Arabidopsis thaliana: one gene and its partner. The protein of the gene in region 1 interacts with the protein of each later gene in a pairwise test. Each region holds a gene or a part of one and is shown on either strand. Other genes may lie near its edges.

Region 1 (4,430 bases):
GGGCCTAACCTAAATGTTTTTACAAGGATTCTTATGCATAAGTTGAAATAAATAGAAATATGTAACTAAATTACTGTAAGAGGAAAAGGCTATAATGTGATACATTATAAGTTTATAACCCATAGTAAATGTTTCTTCTTTTGTATATTTTCAGTCAAAAATATGAATTTCAGTATATCAAGTTTATTCGGTTCGATCGCATCAAATTTGAGAGTACAATTTGGTTAATTCGGTATTAGAATTCTATCGGTCAGGTTCTTATAAAACTTGGTTCGTTTCGGTTTAATTTAAACATCAAACTTGATTCTTGTGCCCCCAAGTCCAATTACAATACTTATATGATTATATTCTGGTCCGATAAATCCATTGGGCTTATTAATGGGCTTTAACTCTCTAAAACACATTTTGGCGCGTGTAACATCGCAACACATCAAACGTAGGTGCGTGTACCTCACATGAAAACACACGAGAACCACATACGTACGCGTCCCCACCAAGAGTTTCGAGTTTTAACAAAATGTCGTTTATACCCTTATACTTACCCGGCAAATTTATCGCATGTTGCCGCCAAACTTTATCACTTCCCTCGCTTCCAAGGCTAAATCTCAGTGGGTATTGACGATAATACCCTTCATCTTCCTCAACAAGCTTTTTTCTTTGGATAAAAATTCCCGAACAAGCTTCTCGAAACCAAACAAATTTCAAACATTTTTAATATTTCCCTCCTCTATTTTCCCTCTTCACGTCAAAAATTCAAAAACCCCAAAACCCTATAATCTCCTATATAAATATTCAGCCCTAGATCTTATAATTCATCAATCAAACAATCTCTTCAATCAAATCTCTTCTTCAATCAAATCTTCAAATCCCTTCAAAGATGCCTTCAATGCCAGAAGAGCCGCTCCTAACACCAACCCCAGACAGATTCTGTATGTTCCCAATTCACTACCCACAGATCTGGGAAATGTACAAAAAAGCCGAAGCATCATTCTGGACCGCCGAAGAAGTAGATCTATCACAAGACAACCGCGACTGGGAAAACAGTCTCAACGACGGTGAACGTCACTTCATCAAACACGTCCTCGCTTTCTTCGCTGCATCTGACGGAATCGTACTAGAGAATCTCGCTTCTCGCTTCATGTCCGATGTTCAAGTCTCTGAGGCGCGTGCTTTCTACGGTTTCCAGATCGCGATTGAAAACATCCACTCGGAGATGTATAGTCTCCTTCTCGATACTTATATCAAAGATAACAAAGAGAGAGATCATCTCTTTCGTGCCATTGAAACAATCCCTTGCGTCGCCAAGAAAGCTCAATGGGCTATGAAATGGATCGACGGTTCTCAGACTTTCGCCGAACGAATCATCGCTTTCGCTTGCGTCGAAGGTACCTTATATTTACTATTTTACCCTTTATTTTTTGTGGGTCTTCCTTATTGTTACTTGAATTGACGATTATGTCCTTTGTGTTGAAGGTATCTTCTTCTCCGGAAGCTTTTGTTCAATCTTCTGGCTGAAGAAACGAGGACTCATGCCTGGATTAACATTCTCAAACGAATTGATCTCACGTGACGAAGGTTTACACTGTGATTTCGCTTGTCTACTCTACACGCTACTCAAAACAAAGCTTAGCGAAGAACGCGTGAAATCAATCGTCTGCGACGCGGTCGAAATCGAGAGAGAGTTTGTGTGCGACGCGCTTCCGTGCGCGTTGGTTGGGATGAACCGTGATTTGATGAGTCAGTATATTGAGTTTGTTGCGGATAGGCTTTTGGGTGCGCTTGGGTACGGGAAGGTGTACGGTGTTACTAATCCGTTCGATTGGATGGAACTTATTTCACTTCAAGGGAAAACGAATTTCTTCGAGAAACGTGTTGGTGATTACCAAAAGGCTTCCGTTATGTCTAGCGTTAATGGTAACGGCGCGTTTGATAACCATGTCTTCTCTCTCGACGAAGATTTTTAAAGAGCGTTTGTTTTGATGCTATAATTACGATTCTACTCTTGTATTATTACCGTGTATTATCCTTGGTTTTTGAATTAATGAATAATTAGTTGCTTTTATCCTCTCTTTCTTCAGCTTAATCTCCATGAATTAGGGCTTATTCGATTAATGAATCCAATGATAAAGTTTCAAAAAGCGACCAAGACAAAGGATATTAAAAATTAATATGAAAAGCGACAAGGAATAAAATTGGACAGAAGAAATTAAGGTTAAGGGCACTTCCGTCATTTTCATATTATTTGTGGCATTCCCAATTTCCCACTTTGTGGCTCCAAAGAGTTTTTTTTTTGGGGCAATGGCGTCGTCGCTGCAAAGCTCGGGGATGTTGACGAAAGAGCAAATGGTTTATCTCTTTGATCGATTCGATTACTTGACTTCACAATCTGGTAATTGTGTGTTCTTTGTTAAGGTTTTTGAATTCATTTTTATTGATTGATTCATTGCAAATGTTTGGTTTCTCAGATGTGAAGAAACGAATCTCCGACGCTGTGGATGACAAACAGGTTAGAAACTGAGAATTTTGTATAATTGTTTCGATTATGCGTTTATTAGTGATTAATGCTTGCTTTGTAGTTAATTAAGAGTGTTGTTGTTGGTAGAGTAATGTCGTTTTCAAGTTGGATGAGATTGTATAATGGAGTACTTATTGTTTCTTAATTTTGTGAACACAAAAGTACAACACTTTAGAAAAGATTGATAAATTTGAAGAGACTAGTTCCAGTTGGAGATAAAATGGGATTGTGTTTAGTTACATGTACTACATTGTGATTGAATGCAGGAAGCTGTAGCGGTAACAACTGCTATTCAAGAGGAGATATTCTTGGAGATGGGGATTGGTAAAGTTCTCTTTAACCTTTTATTGGTTGCTTTTGAGTTATACACACCACACCACACCATTACATGTTTCTTACTATGAGGTATATTCGATAAAAGCAGACCCGGGATTTGGTATTGGCTGCTTGGGAAAGCTGAACTCTGCATACGAAAACGATAAAGAGTTGATGATTGGTTTCTACAAGTTTCTCGCAAAGTAAGCTCTTCTCTTCACGGTGTTATCAGAAATTCGATTCATATATATGAGGGGCTGATTTCACAGTTTAATAGGGAGGAGATGGCATGTGAAGAAGCTGAGCTTGGACAAGATGGATTTGAACAGAAAATGAAAGCACTACAACAATTACAAGAACAGGTAATGTTAGCTTTGGTTACTATAAGAAAACTATCTCTCCAAGGTCAATGTCTAACTATTCGAATGTGCTTACTGCAGCAACTAGAGATGCTTAAGTATATGCGTAAATTCTCTCTGGATGATCAATCTGCTATCCTTCAAAAGGTAAACAAAAACAAAAAAAAAACTGTTTTTACACTTTTTAACTACCATGATAATATTTTCCATTAGCATGAACAGAAAAAGTGTTTTATTATGGCTTTTGGTCCATCTTGCTTACCGGTAAATGAGAAACTGTCTGAGTCTAGTGAGGACTGATTCATATTAGATTGGTCTAATATTCGTTGTTCTTGTACCAAAACAGCTTCAGAAGCAATTAGAAAATGCGGGTTTTGAGCCGGAGGCGTCTCTTTTGTCAGGAGAGGAAATGGAGGAAGCTGGAAGAAGAAGAGTTTCACCTGTTTTTGGAAGCAGATAGCTTTTCAGTTCTCACAAGCTACTTCAATTTCTAATACTCAAGTCGCTCTCTCTATTCTCATGTCATCTCCATATACTTAACTCTTTAAACGTAAATGTACAAGAAAAAAACCTTGCCTCATTTGACTCTCAACTGCATTTTCATGTGAAGCCATTTTTTTTTAATGTATATTGGTAGTAAACTATATAGTTAATAAAAAAAGGAAAACAAAAAACAATTTAGTACAATTTTGTTCCATAGTGTAATCTTGACATGATTTTAGAAGAGTTAGATAACACAGTTCATAGCAATCTCTTGAATTTAGAAGTTTGAGTTAAAAATTTGTGTATTTAGTTAGTATCCATTATCATCAAGAGCAATGGGGAATCATCAAGCTGATAAGAAGTTCGCTTGGGTGATTAAGAATTTCAACTCTTTGGATACCACTAGAGTTTACTCTGATACATTCAAGGCCGGTCGTTGCAAGTGGTAAAGAACATAACTTGTTTGCAAGTGCTTTATGGTTGGTCGCTGCAAGTGACACATATGGTTTTTGCTTGCAGGCGTCTAGTCGCTTATCCCAAGAGACGTGATAGGTATACTACTTCTTTCTCTCTGTTTCTATGTGTTCCTGATTCGGAATCTTTGCCTTCCGGATGGAGAAGACGCGCTAAACTTATTGGTTATAACAAAAGTATTAAAAATTAGGAGAGTGGGATAAGAATCGGCTCTCTTGAGAACCGACTATAAACATATGTCATAATATGATTGGTTATGGATGGTTTTTTTTGAATAGTAAAAA
Region 2 (5,039 bases), on another chromosome or scaffold:
AGTATTTATAAAAGTGGGATGGAGAGTAGAGAGGATTCATTCATATCAAAAGAGAAGAAATCAACTATGAAAAAAGAAAAACAAGCGATTGCATCACAAAGAAATAGAAGAAGAGTAATTAAAAATAGAGGAAACGGGAAGCGATTGATTGCATCATTATCACAACGAAAGAGAAGAAGAATACCTAGAGGAAGAGGAAACGAGAAGGCAGTGTTTGCACCATCATCACTACCAAACGATGTTGTAGAGGAAATCTTCTTACGACTTCCGGTGAAAGCAATAATCCAACTAAAGTCTCTCTCAAAACAATGGAGATCGACGATCGAGTCTCGCAGTTTTGAAGAGAGACACTTGAAGATCGTCGAGCGATCACGCGTGGATTTTCCACAGGTCATGGTCATGTCTGAAGAATATTCCTTGAAAGGAAGTAAAGGTAATCAGCCTCGTCCAGATACAGACATTGGTTTTAGTACAATCTGTTTGGAATCGGCTTCTATTCTGTCCTCCACTCTTATCACTTTCCCTCAAGGATTTCAACACCGGATCTATGCTTCTGAAAGCTGTGACGGACTTTTCTGCATCCATTCCCTAAAAACACAAGCCATATATGTAGTTAACCCGGCCACTCGGTGGTTTCGACAACTTCCTCCGGCTAGGTTTCAGATTTTGATGCAAAAGTTATACCCCACTCAAGACACTTGGATTGACATAAAACCAGTAGTCTGTTATACAGCATTCGTGAAGGCCAATGATTACAAATTAGTGTGGTTGTATAATTCTGATGCCTCGAATCCAAACCTGGGAGTTACAAAGTGCGAGGTTTTTGATTTTAGGGCAAACGCTTGGAGGTACTTGACTTGCACTCCAAGCTATCGGATATTCCCTGACCAAGTACCAGCAGCTACAAACGGGTCTATTTATTGGTTCACGGAACCATATAATGGCGAAATAAAAGTGGTAGCTCTCGATATTCACACTGAAACGTTTCGTGTGCTACCTAAGATTAATCCGGCCATTGCTAGTTCAGATCCTGACCATATCGACATGTGCACTTTGGATAATGGTTTGTGCATGTCGAAAAGAGAATCGGATACGTTGGTCCAAGAGATATGGAGGTTAAAATCATCAGAAGACTCATGGGAGAAGGTTTATACCATAGATTTGCTTTCTTGTTCTTCTTCTTCTTTATCTGAGTTCCGCGATGGATTTAATTGGACACGAAAAGATTTGGTTGAGCCATCCACACCAGTGGCGATATGCAAGGACAAGAAGATTCTGCTCTCACATCGCTATGCCCGCAATATGATCAAATACGATCCCCAAATAAAATCTATCAGTTTAATTTACCAACCTCCTTTGTGTAGAAGATATGCTTCTTATTTTCAGAGTTTGATCTCTCATATATAAAATGCTTTGATGTATTTGGAAGCATGTAATGTAAGAAACAAAGCATTAATTGTTTGGATTGTTATATTATCCGATAGCATGCTGTTATTCATAAATCATAATAAACCATACTTATTTCGCCAAATGACACTATACTTACCAAAAATCATACTACTTTATGAAATGATACAGATTTTTCAAAAAAATGAGGACGAGTATTTTCGTTAATCCACACAAAAATCAGTTTCATTCTGTGTGTGGATGTAAAAGGAAGATGAAATATAGATTTTATCTTAAAGGGACCATTGCCTCGTTGTTAAAAAAAAGGGACCATTGCATCCGACATCTTTTATCCGTATTAATCTTGAAATGTTTATTCAATATACTTTGTTGCAAGATTTTTTTTTATTCAATATACTTTTGTTATTCATGTCAAAAAAAATTTGATTAATAGCCAATCTATGTAACAATCTAAACACAAGTTTGCCGCTACAATTAATATGAGTCTATGACACACATCACAAAGTTTTGAGAGATTAAAATTCTTTAGTCCCAAATACTTCAAATATAGAAAAAAACTACAATTTTTCTTTTCAAAATTTGTTTATTTTACGGTGACAATTTTTATGATTGCCAACCAAATCCCACATTATTAAGTTTTTCAACCAAACTGAACTGTATACTTATTTTGATTATTAACGGTCGGATTTAGCTTTAACTAAATCATCTTCCTAAGCTCTATCACTGAAATAATTCTGCAGACAAAAAAAAATGAGAGAGAGGTGGCAAAGATGAAGTGGAGGTGAGAGACGGAAAGCAAAAACAATAGTCACGAGAATCAACACCAACTCTTAAACCAAGATAGACCAAGAAACCAAACAGAGTAAATAAATGGTGGCCTTGACAACATTGAAATCCCCAAAAATCTCAACTTTTTAGGGTTTTCGAGCTCTGAAATCTCTCTATCTTTCTTCTTCAGATTTCTCACTTTTTTCTTCTTCATAAGATCCTCGTGATTCCACTTTATAACGTACGCCTCCTTTCAAGAAAAATCTCTCTCTATATTATCTACGTTTCTCTCGCCTTGTCTCCTTTTGAGGTTCCATTTCTACTTCTCTCCAAAATTCGAAACTTTTCCCACTCTCTCTCTCTCTCTACTAGTTTGACATGAACAGCGACGGTGTTTGGCTTGACGGCTCCGGTGAATCTCCGGAAGTTAATAACGGTGAAGCTGCGTCTTGGGTCAGAAACCCAGATGAAGACTGGTTCAATAACCCACCACCACCACAACACACTAATCAAAACGACTTCAGATTCAATGGTGGCTTTCCTTTAAACCCCTCAGAGAATCTGCTTCTTCTTCTTCAGCAATCGATTGATTCTTCTTCTTCTTCTTCTCCGTTATTACATCCTTTCACACTCGACGCTGCTTCACAGCAACAACAACAACAACAACAACAACAGGAACAGTCTTTCTTAGCTACGAAAGCTTGTATAGTTTCTCTTCTCAACGTCCCAACCATCAATAACAACACTTTCGATGACTTCGGCTTTGACTCTGGTTTCTTAGGACAACAATTCCATGGAAATCATCAATCTCCGAACTCGATGAATTTCACTGGCTTAAACCACTCAGTACCGGATTTTCTTCCAGCTCCGGAAAACAGCTCAGGATCATGTGGATTGAGTCCTCTGTTCTCAAACAGAGCAAAGGTTTTAAAACCGTTACAGGTAATGGCTTCATCTGGCTCGCAGCCAACTCTGTTTCAGAAACGAGCTGCAATGCGTCAGAGCTCGAGTAGCAAAATGTGCAATTCTGAGAGTTCTTCTGAAATGAGGAAATCGAGCTACGAGAGAGAGATTGACGATACTAGTACCGGAATCATCGATATCTCTGGATTGAATTACGAATCTGATGACCATAATACTAATAACAACAAAGGTAAGAAGAAAGGAATGCCTGCAAAGAATCTTATGGCTGAGAGAAGAAGAAGGAAGAAGCTTAATGATAGGCTTTACATGCTTAGATCAGTTGTTCCCAAGATCAGCAAAGTAACCAAAAAGATTCTTCCTTTTTTCTCTTTGTTCTCCTTAATAACTTCTTGTGTCACTAATTTTGGGTTGCAAATGTAGATGGATAGAGCATCAATACTTGGAGATGCTATTGATTACCTCAAAGAGCTTTTACAAAGAATCAACGATCTTCACACCGAACTTGAATCTACTCCACCGAGTTCTTCAAGCTTGCATCCGTTAACACCGACTCCACAAACGCTGTCTTACCGTGTTAAGGAAGAGTTGTGTCCATCTTCCTCCTTGCCAAGTCCTAAAGGCCAACAACCAAGAGTAAGAATAAGCTCAATTGCTTTCTAGTGGACAAAGCTGTATTCTTTAATTTTCTTAGTAACGCTTCTTTGTTTTGATATAGGTTGAGGTTAGATTAAGAGAAGGAAAGGCAGTGAACATACACATGTTCTGTGGACGTAGACCAGGTCTTTTACTTTCCACCATGAGAGCTTTGGATAACTTAGGATTGGATGTTCAACAAGCGGTGATTAGCTGTTTCAATGGTTTTGCTTTGGATGTTTTCCGCGCTGAGGTAATATAGTTGTTAAGATGCTATGCTGATCACTGATTAGTAAAACTAGCAGTCAAAGAATAGTTATTTGAGAGAATGATTAGTATACAAGTAACAACATGTTTTGTGTTTCTAATCAGCAATGTCAAGAAGACCATGACGTGTTACCTGAACAAATCAAAGCAGTGCTTTTAGATACAGCAGGTTACGCTGGTTTGGTTTGATTGCGAAGCAGAAGGAAGCATCTGTGTGGAACAGAGCTAGATCTAAGTCCTTGTTCTGTTTTAGTCAGCAATTTTCTTACTTAGTTTCATCAATTTCAATCATGTATGGAAGATGATAACTGTTTTATTTTAGCTATGAGAACATGTGTTTGGGGAACAATAGTTGCAACCTTTGAGCAAAATGCCATTGTTTCTCAATAATTCTACTTTGCTTTTCATTTATATGTTGTTTGCAAGAAGAGAGCAATGTTGATTTTCATTGATAAAACACACATGAGTCTGTCATGAGAAAAGGCTAAACAAAATATTAAGAAATGCACAATTCATAGGCAAACGCTCTGATATATCAATTTTTCAGAACAGAGATGAATCTCTATGTAAAATTCATATTCTTTATAAATGTCTGAGCTTGGTTCAGTTTAGTAAGATTTGGTTTGTGCCGTGGGCGACTGAAGATGTTAAAGACAAAAACATAATGGAACCAGATAAACTTGGCTAATTGGTAAGAATTAAAAGAAAATCTATGGTATAAATCTTCTCCCATGTGTCTTCTGATGATTTCTTCAGCCTCCAAATATTTTGGATCAGCTTATCTCCTTCTCTTTTCGACATGCACAAAGCATTATCCAGAGTGTATATATGGCTAGGATCTAAACTAGCAATAGCGGGAACTATCTTTGGCAGCAACCGGAATTTTTCTGTAATGATATCGAAAACTATTACTTTGATTTCAGCATTATATAGCTCTGTGAACCAATAAAGCGTCCCGTTTACAGATGCTGGCTTTTGGGCATGGTATATTCGATAACTTGGCGTGCAATTCAAGTACCTCCAAGCGTTTACCCTAAAAT

What was found.
Region 2: the proteins of AT3G27050 (region 1) and SCRM2 interact in a two-hybrid assay, tested with the Arabidopsis thaliana proteins (one large-scale study listed by BioGRID).

Annotation. Positions count from the first base shown.
Region 1 is NC_003074.8:9,977,505-9,981,934, reverse strand, and holds AT3G27050 (plant/protein), read left to right. Parts: upstream 1-2,091; 5' UTR 2,092-2,298; coding exon 2,299-2,389; intron 2,390-2,465; coding exon 2,466-2,506; intron 2,507-2,781; coding exon 2,782-2,839; intron 2,840-2,939; coding exon 2,940-3,033; intron 3,034-3,107; coding exon 3,108-3,192; intron 3,193-3,270; coding exon 3,271-3,336; intron 3,337-3,535; coding exon 3,536-3,649; 3' UTR 3,650-3,840; downstream 3,841-4,430. Other genes in the region: TSO2 (Ferritin/ribonucleotide reductase-like family protein), read left to right, coding at 878-1,385, 1,474-1,964.
Region 2 is NC_003070.9:4,382,205-4,387,243, forward strand, and holds SCRM2 (basic helix-loop-helix (bHLH) DNA-binding superfamily protein), read left to right. Parts: upstream 1-2,099; 5' UTR 2,100-2,553; coding exon 2,554-3,438; coding exon of another isoform or gene 3,439-3,519; coding exon 3,520-3,732; intron 3,733-3,814; coding exon 3,815-3,985; coding exon of another isoform or gene 3,986-3,994; exon of another isoform or gene 3,995-4,104; coding exon 4,105-4,188; 3' UTR 4,189-4,447; downstream 4,448-5,039. Other genes in the region: AT1G12855 (F-box family protein), read left to right, coding at 19-1,407; AT1G12870 (F-box and associated interaction domains-containing protein), read right to left, coding at 4,925-5,032. UniProt on the Arabidopsis thaliana protein: Mediates stomatal differentiation in the epidermis probably by controlling successive roles of SPCH, MUTE, and FAMA. Functions as a dimer with SPCH during stomatal initiation.